Kluyveromyces lactis: one gene and its partners. Each later gene encodes a partner of the first gene's protein in a complex. Links are inferred from orthologs where the notes say so. Each region holds a gene or a part of one and is shown in the gene's direction. Other genes may lie near its edges.

Region 1 (4,362 bases):
AATCAGGGCTTGATCAATTCGATAAGAAATCGAAATTTGAGGATCAGTTCTTCGAAGATTCGTTACCTCCTACTTCAAAACCTAAATCCTTTCAGCATATTTTCCAGGGTAACACAAATGATTTCTTCGTATTGGGTCTCAAGTTCACTAGAAAATCCCTAAAGATATACTCAAACTTTTATCAGTCCGATATCATTATATGCTCTCCGTTAGGGATTCAATTAATTCTTGAAAACACTGATAAGAAGAAAAGACAGGATGATTTCTTGTCGAGCATTGAAGTCATGATCATAGATCAATTGCATTCCATTGAATATCAAAACGCCATGCATGTGACAACAATTTTTCAGCATATCAATAAAATTCCGGAACAGCAACGGGAAGCAGATTTCAGTCGAATCAGAATGTGGTATATTAACGAACAGGCAAAATTCTTCCGCCAAACAATAGTCTTCACTAAATACATATCACCGTTTGCCAACTCAATCTTGAATGGGAAGTGTCGTAATCTTGCTGGAAGATGGAAAAATCATAGGAAGATAAAACCTGAACAATCAAGCATTGGTCAATTAGGACTAAAGGTTAGACAAATATTCCAAAGATTTGATTTAGCAGGAGGGACAGCTCTAGATGAACCTGATTACAGGTTTAAATTTTTTACGAGTGTCATCGTTCCGTCTATTGTGAAATCTACTGGGTACGAGGATGGTATATTATTATACATTCCTGATTATACCGATTTCATCCGTGTTAGAAACTATTTGAAAGAAAAAACTACAATCATATTCGGAGAAATCAACGAGTACTCTAACCAGAAACAATTGACATCCAATAGAGCAAGATTCCAACACGGAAAGGTGAAGGTCTTGTTATACACAGAAAGATTGCACCACTTTAGAAGGTACGAAATAAAAAACGTCAAGAGTGTAATTTTCTACAAGCCTCCGGGAAATCCTGAATTCTATTCTGAAGTTGTTCGCAATATTGGTAAGAACGTATTTTTAGGCAACTGTGATATCAACATTTCAACTGTCAGATGCATATATAGTAAGATGGACGGTCTTTCTCTAGAGAGAGTCGTAGGATCTAAACGCGCGGCAGTATTGGCTCATGGCCAAAACGAAGTGTACGAGTTTAAATAGAGTGGATCAAATATGCCATAAATAATTAGTAAACCGAAAACTTACGCAATCGTTCTCCTTTACTAATAGCTTAGAGTATTAAAATATGTTGCACTTTTCAACTTCTTTGTTTGTTGTAGAATTTTGAAACTCAAAGTCAGATTCAAAGAGTACATATTAATTCTTAATTATTTGATGCAAAGAGACAAGCCCGCAAACGAATCCAATAGCCGCCCGATAATAGATTAAACTAATTTTATACTTAAAATATAATTCTATAGACCTCAGAGCCGGTCAAACTTGCTAATGAGAGCTTTCACCTATAGCAATTGTGACTTATCTTTATCTTTTCCCTTGGGTTTATCAACTGTTGAATTGCGAAACTGCCATGGCAATGCAAGCTAAAGACACATAAGGACTAGCTCTTTCCCCAATTCTCGCAAACTTCCAAAATACTCCTAGTATACCGCTGTCCTTATAACGATCAAGGAGCGATGGTCTTTGTGCATGAATATATGTGCACGAACATATGAACAATAGTATAACTTGTAACAATGATTTAAAATTGAATAGGGCAGACATGTTTTTCAGAAAAGCTAGTGACCGTGAATATTCTGCCGAAGAAAATATCTACTCTGAACCTTTCAAAACAGGAACGAGATGAAACCTAAGGTTCATCAGTTATCATTCCACTGTATTGAAAAGAATAAAGGAACTTACGCTCCCCATACACTTAGCTCTTCGATCTTTAATTTTGGTGAAAAATGTTTACTCTTCACGTGATCTAAAAATTGAATGCTTCTACTTAGAAAAATTTGAAAAATCTGATCGACGATCCAAAATGAAATTATAGTGAAAAGTTGAAAAGTTCACAAATATGCTGTATGAACAGCTCCAGGACAACAAGTATTGGATCGATTGCTTGAACCTGCGAGTTTACTGAGATAGTATAGAGTAAACGGGCCATATAAACGTCAGATATAAAATGAAGGTTCAGCAAGAAGCCGTTAATGTACTAGAACGTACATCCGCCTATTTGAAGTCTGGTATTTTGAAGAAGACTCCAGCTTGGTACAATGTTATAGCGAAGGTACCACCAACAAAGAAGTTTGCTAGAACCCCACAACTGACACATCCTATGAACGGTAAATCTAGAACTGCACTACCTGATTACAGCAATTGGAAGGCCAATTCTTCAGGATTATACAAAACTAGACCAAATTCTTTGGAAAAGAAAGATGGTGCATCGAAGCTATATCAGTCCCCAAAATTAGTATATATCGAGGATAAATTGAGAAAATTGTTCTTCCAGCAACATCCATGGGAACTTTCAAGACCTAAGATTCTTGTTGAGAATACCCTAGAGACTCAAGAATATGACTGGTCTCATATCCAACAACTAGGCAAGCCATTGGATGGCGAATCAGTTGTACAAAGGACGCTTTTCCTATTAAAATCAGGAGAGAAAAAAGAACTCATTGATGCATATGATCAAGCTAGATTCGAGTTCTACCGTCTAAGAATACAACAAGAAATTCAAGATCAAGTTGCTCAAGAAGAAGCCGAAATGTTCGGTTCAGTCTTCCATACCACTTCAATAGAATACGGAATTGCTAAGGAACAAAAGGTCATTGACACATGGAAGAGAAAGGCCTTACAGCAAGCTGAGTTGATGGCTGCCAGAGCAAGTAGTCCTTCTGCTTCCTGGACAAACGAGACCGAAGAAGAACAAAAACCTATTGATCAAGATGTTGAGGAAATTCAACTATGATCTTCCACAATTAAACACAACCAATGAACACTATTCCCGTCAGAACTCTGAGTTTTACTGTCATTATTGTATAAAAATTTCATGTATATATAAGTCACTATAACTATAAAGTTACTCATAGTTAATTCACGAATTGAAAGTACTTTCATGAGCATCACAAAAAGCATAAAAGATCAAACTAAATGGGGTGTCTTTGCATTTGACAAACGTCAGTTGTCACCCTACTACTATTTTTTTATTTCTCCCTCATAAGCTGAAACAAATGAGTTCTCTGTTTCAAATATTTATCGAAGTTAATAAAATCTCGTATCTCTACAATTTTAAAGTTCTTCTTGATCTTTTGGAAGAAATGTTTGTCCGCTTTACGCCTTTTCTTGTATGCCATTAGAATAATTGGCACATTCTCCCCATCAGTTAATTCTAACAGTGTTTTTTCCAATAATGGGAAAGCAGCTTCTAAGTACACACAGTCCGCAGCTAGCACTAAATCAACCGGTTTCTTGACAAATACATCCGGCAAGGGATTCCCCCACCATAACACCTCGGCGTGAACCTTATCATCCAATCCGTTGACTTGAATATTAGATTCCATGAGACCAAGCAGCTGATCAATGTCAGAAATATAAACTTCACGATCTGAATATTCATTCGCTTGATCCATTAGACCAACACAAAGCCCAACTAGACCTGTACCACTACCCAGTTCCAAAACGCTATTGCAATTCCCATCTGGAAACAAATGACTTAGCAAATGTTCCTTGTCGGATTTTTCAAGGATATATTCGCATAGCAGTTCACCTGCTATCCACACTTTACCTCCGCATCCGGATTCACCACCATCTTCATTGATTATAAGAGGACTCGGCAGTTTTCCATTGAAAGACATATCAATTTTGCCCAGATGCTCAATTGGCCTAGCTGGCACTAGTTCCTCAAAACAACTTGAAAACGGCACATCCCCCATAATGAATGCCTTACAGGTCTCCAACACTGTTCGCTCTTTTCGATCTCTCGTCAGCACTTCTAAAAGTGACATCGACTGTTACATAATATGGAATTTGTCTACAGGTTTTCTCGGAATAGTCGTATTTTTCACTCTTTTTTTAGAGTTTACAGACTAAACTTCTTCATGATGTGAAAAAAAAGGACATCCAACGACAATATATTCCATTTACAATACGATGTACATTGTACTGAATCTGCAATTGAATATGTTCTCTCTATAGTGTATAAATAAATGAAGGCTATGAAACTTCTGCTGAGGTGTTATGCATGAAAAGTCTGTAGACTATAGGTGCGTCAGTTTTTTTATATATGTACTTTTTTGGCCGGCTTTTTCTCTTATGCTTGAGACACTAGGGACAAATTCTCATCAACTTGACACATTTCCACACCTGTAGCCAACATTTGATCTTGTAGTGCTGTCTTTATAAACGGAATGACTTTTTCCATATCACTTGCAGTGTTTTT
Region 2 (5,359 bases), on another chromosome or scaffold:
AAAAAGTTTTCATTTCTATAATAAGGATTCCTACATTCTACACGAAACTGTTGCAATTACGAGGCCAATTGAGTGCTATTTTGTGTCAGTTTAATCCGTTATTGTATTGCAGTTTTAAAATAACTCAGCTATCACACATCAAACAGCAGAAACAATGTCCGAAACAATTGAAGGTAACGTTCAAATTCTAAGATTATCACCAGGTGACAGTACCAACTTCCCAAAACCAGGCGATTTGGTAACAATCCATTACACTGGTACTTTGGAAAACGGTCAAAAGTTTGATTCTTCCGTTGATAGAGGTTCTCCATTCCAATGTAACATTGGTGTAGGTCAAGTTATCAAGGGTTGGGATGCTGCTATTCCAAAGTTGTCCGTTGGTGAAAAGGCAAGACTAACTATCCCAGGCCCATACGCTTATGGTCCACGTGGTTTCCCAGGTTTGATCCCACCAAATGCTACTTTAGTCTTTGATGTTGAATTGTTGAAGATTAACTAGATGTATAATGTCATTCTTCTGAATAAAACACATACTATTAATTTCCTTCACATTTTTTCTTTGGTTTCTCCCTTGATTCCTTCCAATTGGTCCCATCCATTATTATTATTATAGCTTTACATCTTTCCGTACCTTCTCATCAACCTTTCAACATGGGAATTGCTATCAAATTGTAGCCGTAGTGTTTGTATGCTTCCATTTTAACATTCAATTTTTGTACATCAACGAAATGCCTATAATATAAACCATTAGCTATATTATGTTGTTATTGCATTATTGAAAAAACAATCAAGAACAACTACTTCCTGCTTCTAAGCCTGCTCGAGAGCCTTGTAGTTGGTTTTGTTATGGATTTTCTTCTTGTTCTCCTAGCTGGAGAATCCACGTCGGCAAGATCTTCAGGAACTTCCTCCGCAGCGGCAACTTTTTGTTTCTTAGGGCGCGGCTGTTGAGATGATTCCGTTTCGTTCTCTTCTGCTTTCCCTGTCGGCGAATTAGCTGATTCCTTGGCAGCACCTTCAGATTCATCAGCAAATGTGACTTGTTTTGTAGCTGTAGTATCTGCGGCATCAGCAGTCGATTCTTTTTCGCTACCAGATCTCCCTTCTGTATCGTGTTCGACATCTTCCTTTTCATCGGTGTTTCCGCCATGGGGTTGGTCTTCTTTGTTTTCACTTTCGTCATCAATGCCTCGCTTTTGTGAACGTGTCAACCTTGTAGAGCGTCTTGTCCTTGGTTTCTTATGAGCATCGACAGGTTCATCGACAGGTTCATTCGCCAGTTCGCTCACAGATTCTCCAACACTGACTGGCGGAGTGGTCGCCATTTCTTGTTTCGCCTGTACATTATTTTGCTCAGTATCCTTTTCATCGATATCCTTTTCTCGTTCCCGTGGCTCTTCTGACTCTTGTTCTACTTGCGTATCCTGTGATTCCGCACCCTTCAGTTTTGCCTTGTCATCCGCAGAAGCGGTCTCCTCTTGCTTAATATCTTCCACCTCATGATCCCTAGCATGTTCTAACATAAGTTCTCCATAATCTTCCCACGATAGTTCAAATTCCGTCTCTTGCTGGAGTCTATTTTGTAATGGTATTATATTTCTCTTAAGCTCGTCACAATTGTCAACATCATTGTCACTGTCATCATCATTATCTAGTTGAGCGTCCCCTTCTGTCTTTTTGTTTGTAGTTTCGGTTGGTCCGTCATCATTATAAAATTCAGGGTATGGCTGGTTCTCTACTTCATCTGCCTTCTCTAAATTATAGTACCGACTCAATTGTTCCCAAACGTCCTCCCCAGAAAACACTTTATCTGAGCTGCCTTTATCGCTTTGCAAAAGTTTGATTGGATACTGATCTGGCTTGTTCAATCGCTCAAGCAAACACACCATATGGAAGTGTTTATGTATTCCTGCAGGTTTGAACAGCATCATCCATTTAAACAGCCTTATTTCCTCCACTTTACTCCATGTTTGCCCTCTAGGTGATTCTATCTTTACAGCGGACATCGCAGTGAACCGTATCGTATTACTTTTATCTGAAGTATCACAACCTTATACACCAAAAGAACGTTCTTGCAATTGATATAATAAAGTTCCTATCAAGATCGCTGATAAAGCAGATCGTATGAGGCTTGATACCATCTTCGCCAGTCCATCTCAATATGGTTCTATGGTGTTTCTCATCTTTCTAAACTATGAATGCTAATATTTGATATCATATGTCACGAAATTCCTCTAAAAATTTTTCAATATCGGAAAGCTTCAAGCATTAGATAGCGTTTGATTGAAAAATATTATGCAGGTAGTTCGGATATGCAATGTATTTCCATTTCGAAGAGTCCGTAAGCAGTCAATTCTGGTTAGTTTTGTCAATACATTGTGAAGAAAAAGACCAGCAATGCCTAGGAAAGCTGTACTTCTGAACTCTTTGTCCAGAGGGAAGGTTCGTACCTCTTTTAACAAGTACAATTTGTTCAACTTGTATAAGAAATCTCAGGTCAGTTTTAGATCGAAAACACTATACCAACAGAAATGGACTTCTAAACAGGAAACTCGTGCCTACCATGGCGAACATTTAACAGAGAGTAGGTGGCAGTCTGTTTTCGAGCCTCAGCTAAACTCTGTGGCTCAATTAGATGCTTCTCTAAGGGGTGGTGATATCGAACCGACGCCCATTCTATTACAAACATACGCTGTACTAGAGAAAAGGCTAGACTTTGCTTTGTTTAGAGCTATGTTTGCCTCGTCAGTGAGACAAGCTCGTCAGTTTATTTTACATGGCAACGTCCATGTGAATGGTGTAAAGATTACTTCTCCGGGATATGCCTTGAAAGCTGGTGATGTTTTCAACGTCAGACCCGAAAAAGTGCTACAAGCTCTTGGTGCCAAGAAACCTAGCTTGAAGGAAGCTTTGAAAGTGGATAATACCCAAATTTTCCTATGGAACAAATATATTCTAGAGGCTAGAAAGAATCCTAGAAAGTTCTGGGATGAAAAGATCGAAAAACTAAGAACTATGGATAGTAACGATCCAAAGAAACAGGAATTTTTATCCTTCCTCGAAAACTACAACAAAACCATGCACATTCAAATGAGGAAAGAATTAGACCAAACCAGTAACGAGTATTTGTTAGCTAAGATCTTTTCTACCGTTAACCGCGTTAACGATGTAGAAAAATTGGCAGTAAAAGATTTCTTGGGCGAATTTTACAATAACGAAAATTTGGCAGCTAAAGGATTCGAAATTTATAGAGAAGTCAAGTCTGCCAAGGCTGTGGAAACGATAGCAGGGAAGCCTTTGGCTGAAATTCCTAATGAACAAGGTGAATTGCTAAAGGTGGCTACAGGAATAACTAAACCTGTTGATAACACAAACGATGCCTTAAAGAAAAAATTCAGAGCCATCAATCATACTATAGTTGATTTGAGACATTTCTATGAAACCGTGGTCAGAGAACATTATAATGACAAGATGGCATCCGTTGATTCTGTTGATATTCCATACGATGCTAAGTGGGCTGAAAAGTTACCATTGCATCAAAAGATCAATGTTCCTGAACTATTGGAAAACGAACCAGCTGCTCAAAAAGCTATCAATTTACCATGGCAAAAGGGTGTGTTTGGTCGTAACGATCCATCTAAACCATATTTCACTCCGTGGAAACCAAGACCCTTCTTAGCACCATTCGCCATTCTACCACACCATTTGGAAATATCATTCAAGACATGTCATGCGGTCTACTTAAGAGACCCTGTTGCACGTCCAGGTCAATCTGAAGTTATTACTCCATTCGGCTTACCTGTACATGAACGTTCATACATGTACTATGTGAGAAGGGGTAAATAAGTTGACGAAAACAAATACACACGAAAGAATGGATACACTGTGACTATGACAATTTAAAAAGAATGGTGTATCTTGGAAACCTTGTACATATTATTATCATTATTTTATCGTATCATATTATATTAATTATATATATATATTTATATGTTCTAATGAGTAAAGAATAAACTAACACCCAGTAACGAGAAGATATACTATTCAGATATTCAACCAGCATGTTCGTAAATCTTGGTTTGTAGTTTACCTTCGACGAAAGTGTGTATCATCTGTTCTGGAAGTGGAACTTCAACGAAGTCACCATCGGGACCAGTTGGAGTGTTGATGTTAATACCAGTGCTAGAAGAGGTGAAAATTTGAGCCTGTAAAGAGTTTTTACTCAAATAAATGGAGCCGCTATCAGACGCGTCGATGGTGATTTGTGGCAGGGTGTTTTCCACTTGAATACCAAATCTCAAACATTTAATAATATCCACACCACTGATGGAAGAATCTAGCACTAAACTGCATTTTTCTGTTTCATTGACAGTAACTGCGTTGACCTTACCTTTGATTTGTACCAATGTGTTGACACATTTACCGATGAAAACAGATTCGTCAATTTTAGTTTCGATCACTAACGGTTCGGCTTCATCTTCATAATTTTCAATAAACCATTTATTACCGATCAATTCCTTTCTTGGAGGCTTCTTAGTCTTCAGAGTAGATGGTTTCTTTGGTTTAGGTGGAGGAACAGCTTTGTCAGAAACCTTCCCTGAGGCACGAAGTTCTGGGTTCTTATGTGTTTGCTGAGACTTTTCTACTTTCTTTAAGGATTTAGTGATGTTTTCACCTTGGTTTAACTCAGCAAACACAGCACCGATTCCACCAGATTCTTGTTCTTTTGATTGTTCATTGACTTCGAATACGGAAGCCGGAGGAGGTGGAGGTGGAGGTGGAGGAGCTCCGGCGCCTGAACTATGCGGCTCACTGGAAGTAGCACCAGAAGAAGAAGCTCCGGATCCCTCGTTGGAAACTCTTTCGTATACGGTTTCGAAATCCTCACCAGTAGTGTCGTTCCAAGTCACACCTGTGGTATGGTATTCCTTAACGTACAGCTTCAAGCTATCGAAAACGGACAAAAATTGTTGGACCCATTCAACGGATTTAGGATCAGTGCTTCTGAATTCTTTCAAGATTCTATTTGTCCAAAACTGGGCAGCGTCCTTGAAATCAGTGATAGTAGACACAGGTGTAGATCCAGCAATCCATGAGAACAGTGGTGATCCCTCAGAGATAGCATTCAAATGAGCGAAATACTTACTGTTACGGTTCTCCTCTTTCAACTCACCAATAGAGAAGATGTTCTCGTTAATTGGGGTCAAACCTTTCACGAATGCAGATGACGAAAAGTCTGGCTTCTTTGATTGTACTGCTGCCTTTAAAAACACCAACTGAGCTTTGAAAGCGTTGGCTAAAAACACCACAGCTTTTTCAACAGTAGGATCAATTTCAGCGGATAATTTAACCAAAGGAT
Region 3 (4,110 bases), on another chromosome or scaffold:
CGCCAAAGGATCGTGTATTTGCAAAATTGTTCAAAAATCTAGTATCACCGAAGGAGTCAGTTTGGAATTGACCTCCAAGTCTTCTGGACTCTCTACTTGATGAAGGATGATGAACTTTAGCCAAAGAATGAGCAATACCATTCTTGTCACAAAGTATAATTTTAGTGTCACCGATTTGAGTTACAGCCAGTTTTAGTAAGCCCTGTGGTGCAATGAAAAATGATTCATCGTAACATTCTTCTTCATTATAAGAGGTTAAAAAAAGGCTTGAAGCAGTCGAGCCACCAGTGAATATTTTCATTGCTTCTTCTGGTTCTAAATCCGAAGAAAATCCACATATTTCATTTAAGTCATAATTGAGGTAGGATATGTACAAACGTAAACGTTCGTATTCACTCAACAAGCTTGTCTTGTCAATAATGTTTCCCCATTTGTCAAAGATCATTCTTGCCCCATTTTTTGGCGCTACACCGTCCGTGAGTAGGACTTGCTCCACTTTAGTGTTACATTTTTTGATATACCTCTCATAGTACTCCTTTCTACCTTTGTATATCCTCGACCAGTACTTCCCCCCCACTAAGTCCTGATATTTTTTTAATACAGCGTCAAACTCTTGTCTGATGGGGACCATAGCTGTTATATGATCGTGCAAACCTGAAGCCAGCATCTTAGAGACACGATCTCCTCCATGACCGTCAAATATAGAAATATTCAAAACGTTTCTCTGGGGAGGTAATTCTTTCCAAAGTTTCATCTTAGTAGCGATCGATTTTTTTGAGTTTAACAACGAGCTTTCGGCTATAGTTGTTGGCAACTTCAGAATATTCATAGAATAAGAATCCTCGTTGTATAGTCTATTAATCCTTGAAGTCGCATGCCCGATGAAACCAGGATATTTGTTCAAATGAACCCTTAACATATGAGGTTTTGTTTCTTTCGAAGCAGCATGGCTTGCCGCTGTAGTTTGTAGAGTCGATCTGCCAGCTGTCTTTTGTAGAAGATCAGCTGGCCTTAGGTGAATGAATGACTGGGTTTTACCCATCTCGGGTTGGCTATAATCACAATCGTGTTCAACTTAACACAAATGGTAACACAAGAATTAGCCTCACAATATCTTATAACCGAATACCCCAGACATATAAGAAAGGTTCAAGAATGCCAATTGAAAACACTTCTCTCGTGTGTGGCGGATGCATCAACGAGCCAAAAAAAAGAGCCAAACCCTTGTATATTCACTAGACTTTATTATAACTAGATTTATTTTCCTTTAAAGTGTACCTACTGTTTTTTTTTTTTTTTTTTTTTTTTTTTTTTTCTATACATTCCGCAATAGTGCTTCAACACTACCCTCTTCATATAGGAAACCGTCAAAATCTCACTAGTGTTTCATTACCACATGCTAGCGTGATATGGAGGTGTATATAAGCCATTGCTATCGTTAACTACCGTATATGGGGCTATCTTGACGCATTTTGCCAAATAGTGACGGAACGGCTGTTACTCGGCAGCAGACACCAGGAGAGAAAACTATCTGATCTTATGCACGTGATACAAAAACTAAAAAAATAGACAGTCGCTTTAACACCAGCCTACCTAATTACTCGAGCCCGGAAGTCAAACTACCCCGCAATATTCTATCACGCATAATTCAAGTAGTTGGTTCAAACACCCTATTTACCTGCACCCACCTTACAGCTTGATCGTCCATAATCCAGTATAGTTGTTTGATATTTCAAAATAGGAAATACAACAACTACCTCAGTAAGGACTTTTCTCGTAATTCGGAACCCGCATAGTGCAGCTGGTGTTCCCAACGAAATGAACAAAATCTTTTAGGTTAAAAGATCTCTCAAACCATGCACATTTTCTGAACAATTTCCCGGACATCAGCAACAACACATATTCGATCACATGACTTCCGAATATTTTCAACTATGATTTTTCATCATCAGAAACTGACAAAAAATTATGAAGCAAATGTTGAATTGAAAGAGTTATATCAATCGGTCAGTGAATAAATGTTGGCGTAAGTTCAACTCTGAGTTTGACTTACGTGCACTGGATCTTAAGAAACAATCCTGTCAAAGATACCAATGTTCAAACAGGTTTTCGGATTGAGCAGTAGTCTGACTAGACTATCGTTGCGTAATGTTCGTTCAAGCATAGCATTTGCACCACCACTGCAACAACGTTCTTTCTCATATACTTCACCAATACAAGCCACGTTGAACCAAATAAAGAGAGGGGTCAAGCCTCCTGGCCGTAAGAAGATCACTGAATCCCCAGATTTGGAGGTATGCCCGATTCGTAAAGGAGTTGTGCTAAGAGTGATGGTATTGAAGCCAAAGAAACCTAATTCTGCTCAGAGAAAAGCTTGTAGAGTGAGATTAACCAATGGTAACATTGTTTCTGCATATATCCCAGGCGAAGGCCATAACGCACAAGAGCACAGTATTGTATATGTTCGTGGAGGCCGTTGCCAAGATTTACCTGGTGTGAAATATCATGTTGTCCGTGGTGCCGGTGATTTGGCCGGTGTTGTCAACAGAATCAGCTCCAGATCGAAGTACGGTGTGAAGAAACCAACAAAGGAGTAAGATACCAACAGTATTATATTCTGAATTATCAACATAAAATATATACTTATGTTTATAAACTAGACCTTCATGTAAATATGCGAATAATCTATCTACTGGTTGCTCAATCTTTATGGCCACGTGACCGAAATTTTGTTCGGATGGTTTTTCCATCATAGAAAAGTGCTGAAAATTTAGTTAACAACGATTTCAACGAAAAGGTGCCCCTATTGGAACAAACAGAAAGAAAGATTCATCATCTGCAAGGAATTGGGAAATTTCGAAGAGACTAAACCTGCTCAGTGTTGAGGAAACTTACAAGTTGATATTGTTCCAAGTCAATTGAAGAAAAGCTCATAGACTTGTTCGAAAAAAAAGCCTGGGTGAACACTTGTGAGCCTTCTAATATCAATACATAATAATGTTACACCTTAAACCATACAACCTATTGGTCCAAAAGACATTAACAGAAGCTTTGGAAGCTTACAACAATGGGTCTCCTTTAACTTTGGACAGAATCATCTCCGACTTTGATTATACAACGTTACACATCACCAACGATGGCACTGATAAGTCGAACCTATTAGTTTCCATCAGAACCAAGGCTACGCAATCTTGTAATGAGAGTGGGAACGATTTACAAGGGTTCTTGCAGGCAAAATTCGATGAAGTACCAGGTTTGGCTCTATCATCTGCTAAAAAGGAGGCCGGTTACGATTTTACCATTACTGTTGATCTATCTCAAATCACTGCGCAATCTATTGTGCAAGCATCTTTGTTTAAGATCCTTGTAATGTCATATCCATTCTATTTAGCGTTTGGCCAGAGTAATGCTCTTTCTCAATTGAATGAAATAGACCAAGTGGAAAAATCAAAGGAGGCCAGGGCTATGGTTATCAAATACAGAGATGATGAAAACATATACATCAAGCCGTCCTTTGATCGTATCACTGTTATATTCGAAACTATATTCCAAGATGAAACTGACAAAGTTTTCGGTAAAGTTTTCCTACAAGAATTCGTAGACGCAAGAAAGAGAAATAGATCCATCCAATCTGCGCCTCAAGTGCTATTCTCCCATGAACCACCTTTGGAAATTCAAGAAGTAGCCCAACAACACGCTCACGTTGCAGGTGCTAAGAAGTCTACCAGGAGATTCATCACATTTGTATTGTTCCCACGTCACTACTCCTCCGATGAACTAATGTTCACATCTGTGTCACAGCTTGCCCTATTCAGGAACTATTTCCATTACCATATCAAGTGTGCTAAGGCATACATGCATTCAAGAATGAGATATCGTGTTGATACATTCATCAAGGTCTTGAATAGAGCAAAGCTAGACGAAGAAACTGAATCCGATTCACGTAGAACAATCACCGGTAGAAAAATGGTCTACTAAGTAGAAATTGGTTTCAATAATGTGTTTAAAGTATAAAATAGAATGCTGCCGATGTAGCGATTTATATCACGTGACAAGTAGATGATCCTATTCAGATTTTTTTCCCTCCGTAATGCCATGCAATTGCTGGGC
Region 4 (4,250 bases), about 700 kb from region 1:
TGAAATGTATATTTTCCACATTAGGAAATAGCACGTGGTATAAAATCGATGTCTTTTCCCTTTCACGAGCCAGATTTTTTAAACGAGATGGATGCTAACGGAGATTGGCTGGACGGACGCACAGCAAGGGCGGAGTCCGCGCAGGAGCTAGGCTTAGTCGAGTGTTTTCCTAGGCAGGGATGGGGCAGGTTCAGTCCTTTCTAACTCGAACCGCTCCTCTGAAATTTCACTTGCTTGATGCATTGGAAGATCGGAACATTGGACAATATCTCACTTTAATATTTCATGCATCATTATATACTTGTTCATCTCATCAACAATAATACGTTAGATAGGACAGGTTACGATTCACAATTGATAGCTCCAAGAGAACAAGAATATATCAAACAATGTCTTTGCCATCTACCTTCGACTTGACCTCAGAAGACGCCCAATTGTTGTTGGCTGCCAGAGTCCACTTGGGTGCTAAGAACGTCCAAGTATGTTGAGAAATTTACGAAATATGGATACGAACTTCGGTTTGGATAATACGTATTCGATAAGAGGAGTGGTGTTTGTTCAATACCAGAAATGCATCAATTAGAAAGAACTGTTACAAAAAAGAGAATATTGTATCACAGCAAGATTAGCTGTCATGATACTTCTGTACTTATGCTTGTACCTTGTTTTTGCTCGTGTTTTAAATCAATAACATTGGTTAGGCCTCTCCGCAGGTTAATCATGGATGTTGAATATTTGGCACGGTGCTACTAACTAAATGAGTGCTGATGTCAAGGATAATGGCTTCACTCACAAGAAAGAATATGCAAATATTTATATTTGTTGCTCTTTACCTAACAGCATAGAGGATATACGTACGTTAAACATTCTATTTCCCCTCGTTATTTCAATTCTGATTCCCTTCGAACAAGGATATCAGACTGAAGTACGAGAGGATATGGTTTTAACTGAATCTGTTAAAAGAACAACAATTGAAATGGCCTGCCATTTCTAGGGAACTAAAATAATAATAAAAAAGTACACGAACATCTCCTCTATCATATGGTAATATCTGCACTTCGAAAAGTGTATCCTGTCGCATGTTGCGGTTGGGAAAAAGCTCTCTCTTTACTAACAATATATTTTTAACTTTTGCGAACGAAACGTTTGCATGGTTATTTTTTAATTATTAACAGGTTCACCAAGAACCATACGTCTACAAGGCTAGACCAGATGGTGTCAACGTTATCAACGTTGGTAAGACCTGGGAAAAGATTGTTTTGGCTGCCAGAATCATTGCTGCCATTCCAAACCCAGAAGATGTTGTTGCTATCTCTTCCAGAACTTATGGTCAAAGAGCTGTCTTGAAGTACGCTGCTCACACCGGTGCTACTCCAATTGCTGGTAGATTTACCCCAGGTTCTTTCACTAACTACATCACCAGATCTTTCAAGGAACCAAGATTGGTTATCGTTACTGACCCAAGATCCGATGCTCAAGCTATCAAGGAATCTTCTTACGTTAACATCCCAGTCATCGCTTTGACCGATTTGGACTCCCCATCCGAATACGTTGATGTTGCTATCCCATGTAACAACAGAGGTAAGCACTCCATCGGTTTGATCTGGTACTTGTTGGCTAGAGAAGTCCTAAGATTGAGAGGTGCTCTACCAGACAGAACTCAACCATGGGCTATCATGCCAGATTTGTACTTCTACAGAAACCCAGAAGAAATCGAACAACAAACTGCTGAAGAAGAAGCTGTTGCTTCCGGTGAACAAACTGAAGAAGCCGTTGACGCTACTGAAGAACAAACCGAAGCTGCTGAATGGGCTGAAGAAGGTCAAGCTCAAGAAGAAGAATGGAACTAAACTTCAAGAATTCTTTAACTGAATTCCTGGAAGTTATTCCACCTTTTTTTTTGTTTAATTCATCATTCTATAATATAGATTCAATGCTTAGCATACTATCATTGTTATTATTATAGCTTCATGCAACAACTCTCAACCATCCGCTCATATTTTTAACTATTTTTACTAGTTTTTAAAACTCCACATCGTGTATAATTTTAATATCATTATTGATCCAGGCTAGTACCCGATAATTATACAAAGAATTGAATATTATTTAATTGATTGAACGTGCCAACTGAATATTTCCCCTTCAATGGTGCTTCAGTACCCAGTATGGCAATGTGACCCTTCTCGCATCTCTCATCGCTCTTATCCTCATCATGGTGATAATTTCCTGATAATGAAAATTTGAACATTGGAACATTCGAAAAAAAACTGAGCTTGCATAAAATAGAAACCTGCTGCAGAAGTAGTAAGTGAAAGTACCAATAAATAGGTCTTAGGTGTGCTTTAACTCTCAGCGAACTAGTTTGCGGGTTGTTCCATCAGTTATCACTCATATTTTCATATTTTGAGAAATGTCTGTACCCAAATCTAGGCTACTGAAGCTTGCTGAGATATCAGCCAAAGTTTTTGATCAAAATTTCAATCCAACAAATGCCAGAACTGGGTCTAAGATCCTAGCACAGAGGCTTAAAGGACCTGCTATTGCGAATTATTATGGTAACCCAGATTTTATCAGATTCAAGCAATTGAAGAAACTATATCCAGGCATGAACTTCGTTGATGAAGAAGAACAATATAGATTGACTATGCTTGAACTAAGAAAGCGTAGAGGTAAGGGTGCTCCAACTAAGAAGAGAGAGGCCTCTGGTGACGGTAAAAAGACCAAGAAGAGAAAGTGATCAAAATGAGCCCAGCCTATCCTTTTATCCCACTTAAAGGGACTTGCAATTAACATTTCCATCATATAAAAATACCTTGTATATAAATTATATCAGTCAGTTCAAATAGACCCAAGAATTTAACGAATTTCAACTATGTTTTTATTAAATACGAATATTCAAGTAAGATTCAAACTATGCAATCTGTGCCATTAATTGTGGTTGTGAGAGGGGTTTATATCGTATCTTGTTCCATTACCATCTTTAACTTTTTCCATAGTAAATCGATATCAATTGGATGTCTCGGTAGATTATGGTACAAAACACGATAGAGTTCATCTCTTCGTACATTAAGAACTGATCCCTGACTCACCATCTTCAAAGTCTCAACCGAGAACATCTGTCTTTGAATGGATTTCATGACGTTTGTGAATGGTTCAAAGGTCATGAAAAAGCTGATTGGATTATTCGATATTAATAAGTGATCATCATATACTTTGAACTTGATACCACCAGGTAACCTTTTAGCATCTTTTATCCGTAAAAGCAATGCAAATAAAGGGAAATGGTTGATAAGGGCCAAACTTAGTTCAAGCAACACTTTCACTGTAAGGTCAACAAATCTGAACACTGTGTATACCAAATAGAATGAAAATAACGTTGGCAACAAGAAGATTAACACCGTGAATATTAAAGTTCCCATCAATAGCTGATCTAATTCGAAGTACATATCATCAACTCTTCTACGTAACACATTTTGCTTCTTCCCATAAAACAGGTAGAATAAACTCTTCAACACATAGATATGAACATGATAAAGTTTGACACTAATCATGTAAAATAATGAGATATGCAGCGTCATGATCCACAGGAAGTCAACAGCCAGGGCCAAAGTGAAAGTGAACCCTATGACAGCACTGATATGAGACATTACTGTTATTCCCTGTCGTATAGTTTCTGGTTCAATGCACGAGCGAATCCATCCGGTATAAGTGAATTCGATGATTAACAAAAAAAGAGAGCTTAAAAACCTGGAAAGCTCATCATTAAGTTTGATACCCAGTGGGTTTTGTTCTAAAATCAACGTCACCTGCATGGGAAGCTCATAAAGTAAATACTTTAAAGTTGTACTGATATTTTGGGCCAATGTAATACGGTTTTCATATAACACAGTTCCTAGTGTGGCACCAAACGAAACATCGTTTATGATGAGCCAAAGAGTATTGTAAAGTCGAATATAATCAGGATAGGTTTCGCAGGGAAGTGCTTTCGGTAGCACAAGGTGGCTTTTACGACGTTTAGTGAAACCCGAACTCTTATCATTTTCATCTATGCTACCATTTTCATCTGTTCGAAGGTCTAGATCAGTCAATTTGACATTTTTATTAATCCTTAGATATTGTACTGGAATATAACAAAGTTGCTGGCATCTAAGGTCAATCTGCTGAGCAGTTGCGAATAACTTTACCAATGGCAATACCCTCCAATTTAAAACATACGACACAAATCCTGCAACAATTCTTATCAAGGCGGC
Region 5 (4,099 bases), about 600 kb from region 1:
CTAATTTGTAGTTCCATTTATGCCTTCTTTTGAGATGAAATGACTTAAAAGATCCAATATGGAAAACATCAACTAATTTAATGTTGACATGCATAATAAGTTCCATGACCTAGGAAGAGATCAGGTACTGAGTTCTGAGAAGGAGTACTATTCACTATAAATCAATATGTCATTTGGACGAAGAACATGGAATAGAGAAGAGTATGCTGCCAAGGCAGCAACTTCTCCAGGAGGGCAATCTCATCTTTCATCATTAGACCAGGAACAACTGAAAGCTTTAAAAGATAGATACACAGACTACAATGCTTTACTCGAGTATAATCTACGCGACATCAATAAAAAGACGTTATCAGCCAATCTAAGTCAGCAGAAAAAAGGTAAACAGTTCGGGTTTTACTGTGACATATGTGACTTAACCTTCAAAGACACACTACAATTCATTAACCATTTGAATCACAAATCACATGTTGTACGGTTTGAGAACATATTCAACGAGCCATTGATAAAAGATACGAGGGATAATGATCTAGTACCACTTAATGAGGTACGATCCCAGTTTCATAAATCTGTATCAGCATTTATCGGGGACACTGAATTGAGATCCAATAAACGCAAAGCGGCAAAGAGAGTCAAATGTGAGAAATCTGATGCAGAAATCAAATATCAACCACAGTCTGAAATCGGCAGGTTAATGGGTTTCACAGAATTCGGAAGTTCCAAGAAATAACATAAATATTGACGTTTTTATTCGAAGCATATCTACATCCCACTATTCACAACGTACTTCTGCTGAATGGCAATTAGATACTGATGATATTTACAAAGTTTAATCGAGATAAAGTTGGATGGATTGTTATAGGAAGTCCCCAGATATATGCAAAAGGGTGCCGATGGGGAAAATGGCATGAGGGGTCATTTTAGATGGTCTCAACTTTATCCACGGTTTTAAAGTATTTGGAAACCTGGCCGTCTCCTTCTGAATTTGGTACAATAACTTTGTCGATAACGGAAACCTCATTTTCGAACTTGATCGCATCTTTTATATTGTCTGGGAAGTCAAGTAGATAAACAGTGTCACCCTTTTGACATTTCTCCTTCATATATTTACCTATCAAGACGACAGAGAGACCTGTTGGTAGTTTTTCCATGTACGATTTCCCCTCCTTTTCATATAAATCATTTAAAAGCACATAATATTTATCGTCAGACTTATTTCTGAAGAATTCAATAGCTTCTGAAGGTTTGATAACCTTCGCATCTTCGGGGAATTTCAGTTTCTTGGTTGCAACTCCGGTTTGCACACATCTTAAATTTAAATCATCTTGCTCAAAGATCGAAACTCTTCTTCTTAGACCACTCATCACAGTGTCAAATTCAGAGAATGTGTACGTGTTTTTAGGCTTGTTCTGTTCCAAAGAGTCGACTGCCTTAACAAAAATAGCAGTCCCAACTAAACCAACAAGTAAAATGGTTTTAAAACTTGGTGGTTCTTCAGCTTTATCCATTTTTCCAGACAGCATCCGGCGCATGACCGGAGACTTCAATAATCTTGGTGCAGCGCGTACGAACATATCGGCCTTGATCTTTGTATAGTGCAGCAGATAGCTACTGATGAGATTGGCTATAGGCCTCGTAGTGAAACAAAGAAGCAATCCTAATTAAAATGTCATAACATTCCGGATCTTCTCCAGCAAGCTATATTGAAAGATCTTAAAATGTCATTGACGAAATATTTCCACAGGTTTGATAGAAAAGTGATAAGGTACAAAACAAAAGAGAAGAGGTAAGGAGATTGCCATTATAGGACCCTGGCTTGAGAAGGCGTACAGTTAGAAGATTATATGAAACTGCATCTAGCAGCTTACTTCCAACACTGCTTTCGCTTCATTCTAGGCTGATAAAGACACCGTTGGCTATTTCTTTCCAAACACTGACGGTGTGATGTACGGGTGGGATATGTAGATATTCTAAAAATTTTCTGTTCACCAAAATTTGGGCTATACACATGAGATGAAGGACAACTCTTCAATGATAAACTGTTACCGGGTTGGCCTCTCCAATCAAGGAAAAACGATCCTCATTAAGCTTCCATAACAATTGTGATACACTTTGTCAAGAATGTCATTAGTGAATTTGGGTAATGTTTGCGCGCACTTGCAAAACTGTTCCCGCGCAAGAATTGGTTTGACTTCAATCCCATATACAAAGTTACACTTGAACTTCGCTTATAACTTATACAAGCATGGCTTCTTATCCAGTTTACAACGAGGATCTACTAAGGGCCCAGATGTCACACCGGTAGACGTAACGCCAGATAATATCGCTACTAGAAAACTGTGGTTGGGTTTAAAATACAGGGAAAACAAGCCAGTTATTTCTAGTTGTAGATTGATATCAAAACCAAACTTGAGAATCAGTCTAGATGCACATGATTTGAAGAAACTATGTTCAGGTACCTCCGTCAGATTGATCAAACCTTTGGCTCCTGGTGAATTAATTTTAGTGAAATCTGGGAATGAAATTATGGATATCGATGATGCTATCGCCAAGAAAGTCGGTGGTGAAGTGCTATGCAGAATTAGGTGAATCATCAGTAAAATTCCCAGCAATAAAGACCATTAGTCATATAATCAAAAACAAAGTGCAGAATATTTCATCAACATGTGTGATGGACCATCGAAACTTCCAATATCATCAAAAGGAAATCCACCTCATATTCCATGTATATAGTAACATTCAATCAGTGCGATTTTCCTTTTAGCGACAATCATCAATCGTGTCAAATATCAGTTTTATACATACACTAATATAATTGTATACTTGTACATTATAGCATTATATTTGCCTAAACGAGACAAATGAGACAAATCATAAAAAAATCATAGCTCTGTGGTAATAGTAACAAGGCTGAAACTTACTTAAAATTCCACAACTGGGCCAACACCAACTGATCTCCAATTTGTCATATCGACATTCCAGTTCTTCCACTTAGCTAACATAACAGGGTCTGTCGTTGGATGCTGAATCTGTCTCGATGGCTCGAATTTGGATGGAGAATGTCTATCAAAGGAAGAGAATTCCACAGGGGTTAGTTGTGGTGATTGTGTTGCTCTAAGCTGCTCTACTTCTTGTCTAGACGTAGATAGCTCCTGCTGAGCGGACAGCAATTGTACAGTTTTATCATTGAGTTGAGATTTCATGATGTTTATCTGTTCTTCAAGCTCTTCTATGGAGCTTTCTTGATCTATGTTGACAAACTTCAATTGCTTTACTTGATCTTTTAGCTTTGAAACTTCTTCCTTGAGGTTTATTACTTCATCTTGGCTTTTCTGTTCTTGTATCGTCGAAAGGAAATCTTTCTCTTTATCATCATTCCCGCCAAACAATTCTTCAACTTCATCTGTACTTTTTGCCTCTATTGGTTCTTCCTCTTTTTGTTGAACTGCAAAAGCTTCTTTAGACACTTCCTCGGTTGGGTTGGGTATATCAGTTGCTTCCTTCTCGAGGACTTCCTCCTCGGAGTCTTTCTTGTTCTCCGCAGACTCTTTTTCAGACTTCTCCACAGACTCCTTTTCAAACTTCTCTTCGTTGTTGTCATTGCCCTTTGCATCAGCATTTATCTCAGCCTTTTCTTCAGCTTTTGTCTCTTCCACGATTGGTTGTTCATCTGAATGAACCGGACTCTCTGATACATTAGTATCAGTCGGTTCCAATTCAGTTTCAGTTTCAGTTTTGACTTCAGCTGCTTCAAGATCTTCCTTGTCCTTCTTCTTCTTATTCTTCTTGTTTTTATTCTTCTTCTTTAACTCTTCAACCCTTATCTTGGCTTCTTCGAGCTTTCTGGCTCTTTCTTCCTCGGGGGATAGTTCAGACATAATCAACTGTTCGAATGTGTGTACTCACTTGCATTGAAGACGCCAATTGGTTTTAATATTTAGCTCGCAATTGTTTCAGATTTGGCATTCACCATGTAAATTCTTATTTCATATGGGGCAACTTTTTTTTTTGATCTAAACGTGTCGTTATGGTTCACACATATTTAATAAGAAAGGAATCACCATCATTGAGGCAAACATCGATCAAATAATATCGTTTAATT

Evidence for each region. Proteins that work in one complex are often made in the same cells at the same time.
Region 2: RSM25 (region 1) and NAM9 share a complex: the UniProt entries of both Saccharomyces cerevisiae proteins name them as parts of the mitochondrial small ribosomal subunit. The link is inferred for Kluyveromyces lactis from reciprocal best matches to the Saccharomyces cerevisiae genes RSM25 and NAM9.
Region 3: RSM25 (region 1) and MRPS12 share a complex: the UniProt entries of both Saccharomyces cerevisiae proteins name them as parts of the mitochondrial small ribosomal subunit. The link is inferred for Kluyveromyces lactis from reciprocal best matches to the Saccharomyces cerevisiae genes RSM25 and MRPS12.
Region 4: RSM25 (region 1) and RSM27 share a complex: the UniProt entries of both Saccharomyces cerevisiae proteins name them as parts of the mitochondrial small ribosomal subunit. The link is inferred for Kluyveromyces lactis from reciprocal best matches to the Saccharomyces cerevisiae genes RSM25 and RSM27.
Region 5: RSM25 (region 1) and MRPS8 share a complex: the UniProt entries of both Saccharomyces cerevisiae proteins name them as parts of the mitochondrial small ribosomal subunit. The link is inferred for Kluyveromyces lactis from reciprocal best matches to the Saccharomyces cerevisiae genes RSM25 and MRPS8.

Annotation. Positions count from the first base shown.
Region 1 is NC_006041.1:743,039-747,400, forward strand, and holds RSM25 (mitochondrial 37S ribosomal protein mS23), read left to right. Parts: upstream 1-2,106; coding exon 2,107-2,892; downstream 2,893-4,362. Other genes in the region: rRNA-binding ribosome biosynthesis protein UTP25, read left to right, coding at 1-1,142; KSH1 (Ksh1p), read right to left, coding at 1,485-1,703; EFM6 (putative protein-lysine N-methyltransferase), read right to left, coding at 3,128-3,928; FAP1 (Fap1p), read right to left, coding at 4,234-4,362. UniProt on the Saccharomyces cerevisiae protein: Component of the mitochondrial ribosome (mitoribosome), a dedicated translation machinery responsible for the synthesis of mitochondrial genome-encoded proteins, including at least some of the essential transmembrane subunits of the mitochondrial respiratory chain.
Region 2 is NC_006037.1:1,005,607-1,010,965, reverse strand, and holds NAM9 (mitochondrial 37S ribosomal protein uS4m), read left to right. Parts: upstream 1-2,397; coding exon 2,398-3,846; downstream 3,847-5,359. Other genes in the region: peptidylprolyl isomerase FPR1, read left to right, coding at 155-499; EAF7 (Eaf7p), read right to left, coding at 798-2,006; SRV2 (adenylate cyclase-binding protein), read right to left, coding at 4,053-5,359. UniProt on the Saccharomyces cerevisiae protein: Component of the mitochondrial ribosome (mitoribosome), a dedicated translation machinery responsible for the synthesis of mitochondrial genome-encoded proteins, including at least some of the essential transmembrane subunits of the mitochondrial respiratory chain.
Region 3 is NC_006042.1:669,117-673,226, forward strand, and holds MRPS12 (mitochondrial 37S ribosomal protein uS12m), read left to right. Parts: upstream 1-2,093; coding exon 2,094-2,597; downstream 2,598-4,110. Other genes in the region: type 2C protein phosphatase PTC6, read right to left, coding at 1-1,042; ARC35 (Arc35p), read left to right, coding at 2,998-3,978. UniProt on the Saccharomyces cerevisiae protein: Component of the mitochondrial ribosome (mitoribosome), a dedicated translation machinery responsible for the synthesis of mitochondrial genome-encoded proteins, including at least some of the essential transmembrane subunits of the mitochondrial respiratory chain.
Region 4 is NC_006041.1:1,439,384-1,443,633, reverse strand, and holds RSM27 (mitochondrial 37S ribosomal protein mS33), read left to right. Parts: upstream 1-2,410; coding exon 2,411-2,737; downstream 2,738-4,250. Other genes in the region: RPS0A (40S ribosomal protein uS2), read left to right, coding at 390-479, 1,176-1,850; KLLA0_E16149g (uncharacterized protein), read right to left, coding at 2,084-2,248; GPI1 (phosphatidylinositol N-acetylglucosaminyltransferase), read right to left, coding at 2,952-4,250. UniProt on the Saccharomyces cerevisiae protein: Component of the mitochondrial ribosome (mitoribosome), a dedicated translation machinery responsible for the synthesis of mitochondrial genome-encoded proteins, including at least some of the essential transmembrane subunits of the mitochondrial respiratory chain.
Region 5 is NC_006041.1:140,339-144,437, forward strand, and holds MRPS8 (mitochondrial 37S ribosomal protein uS8m), read left to right. Parts: upstream 1-2,118; coding exon 2,119-2,586; downstream 2,587-4,099. Other genes in the region: U4/U6-U5 snRNP complex subunit SNU23, read left to right, coding at 167-727; AIM36 (Aim36p), read right to left, coding at 918-1,571; BUG1 (Bug1p), read right to left, coding at 2,919-3,875. UniProt on the Saccharomyces cerevisiae protein: Component of the mitochondrial ribosome (mitoribosome), a dedicated translation machinery responsible for the synthesis of mitochondrial genome-encoded proteins, including at least some of the essential transmembrane subunits of the mitochondrial respiratory chain.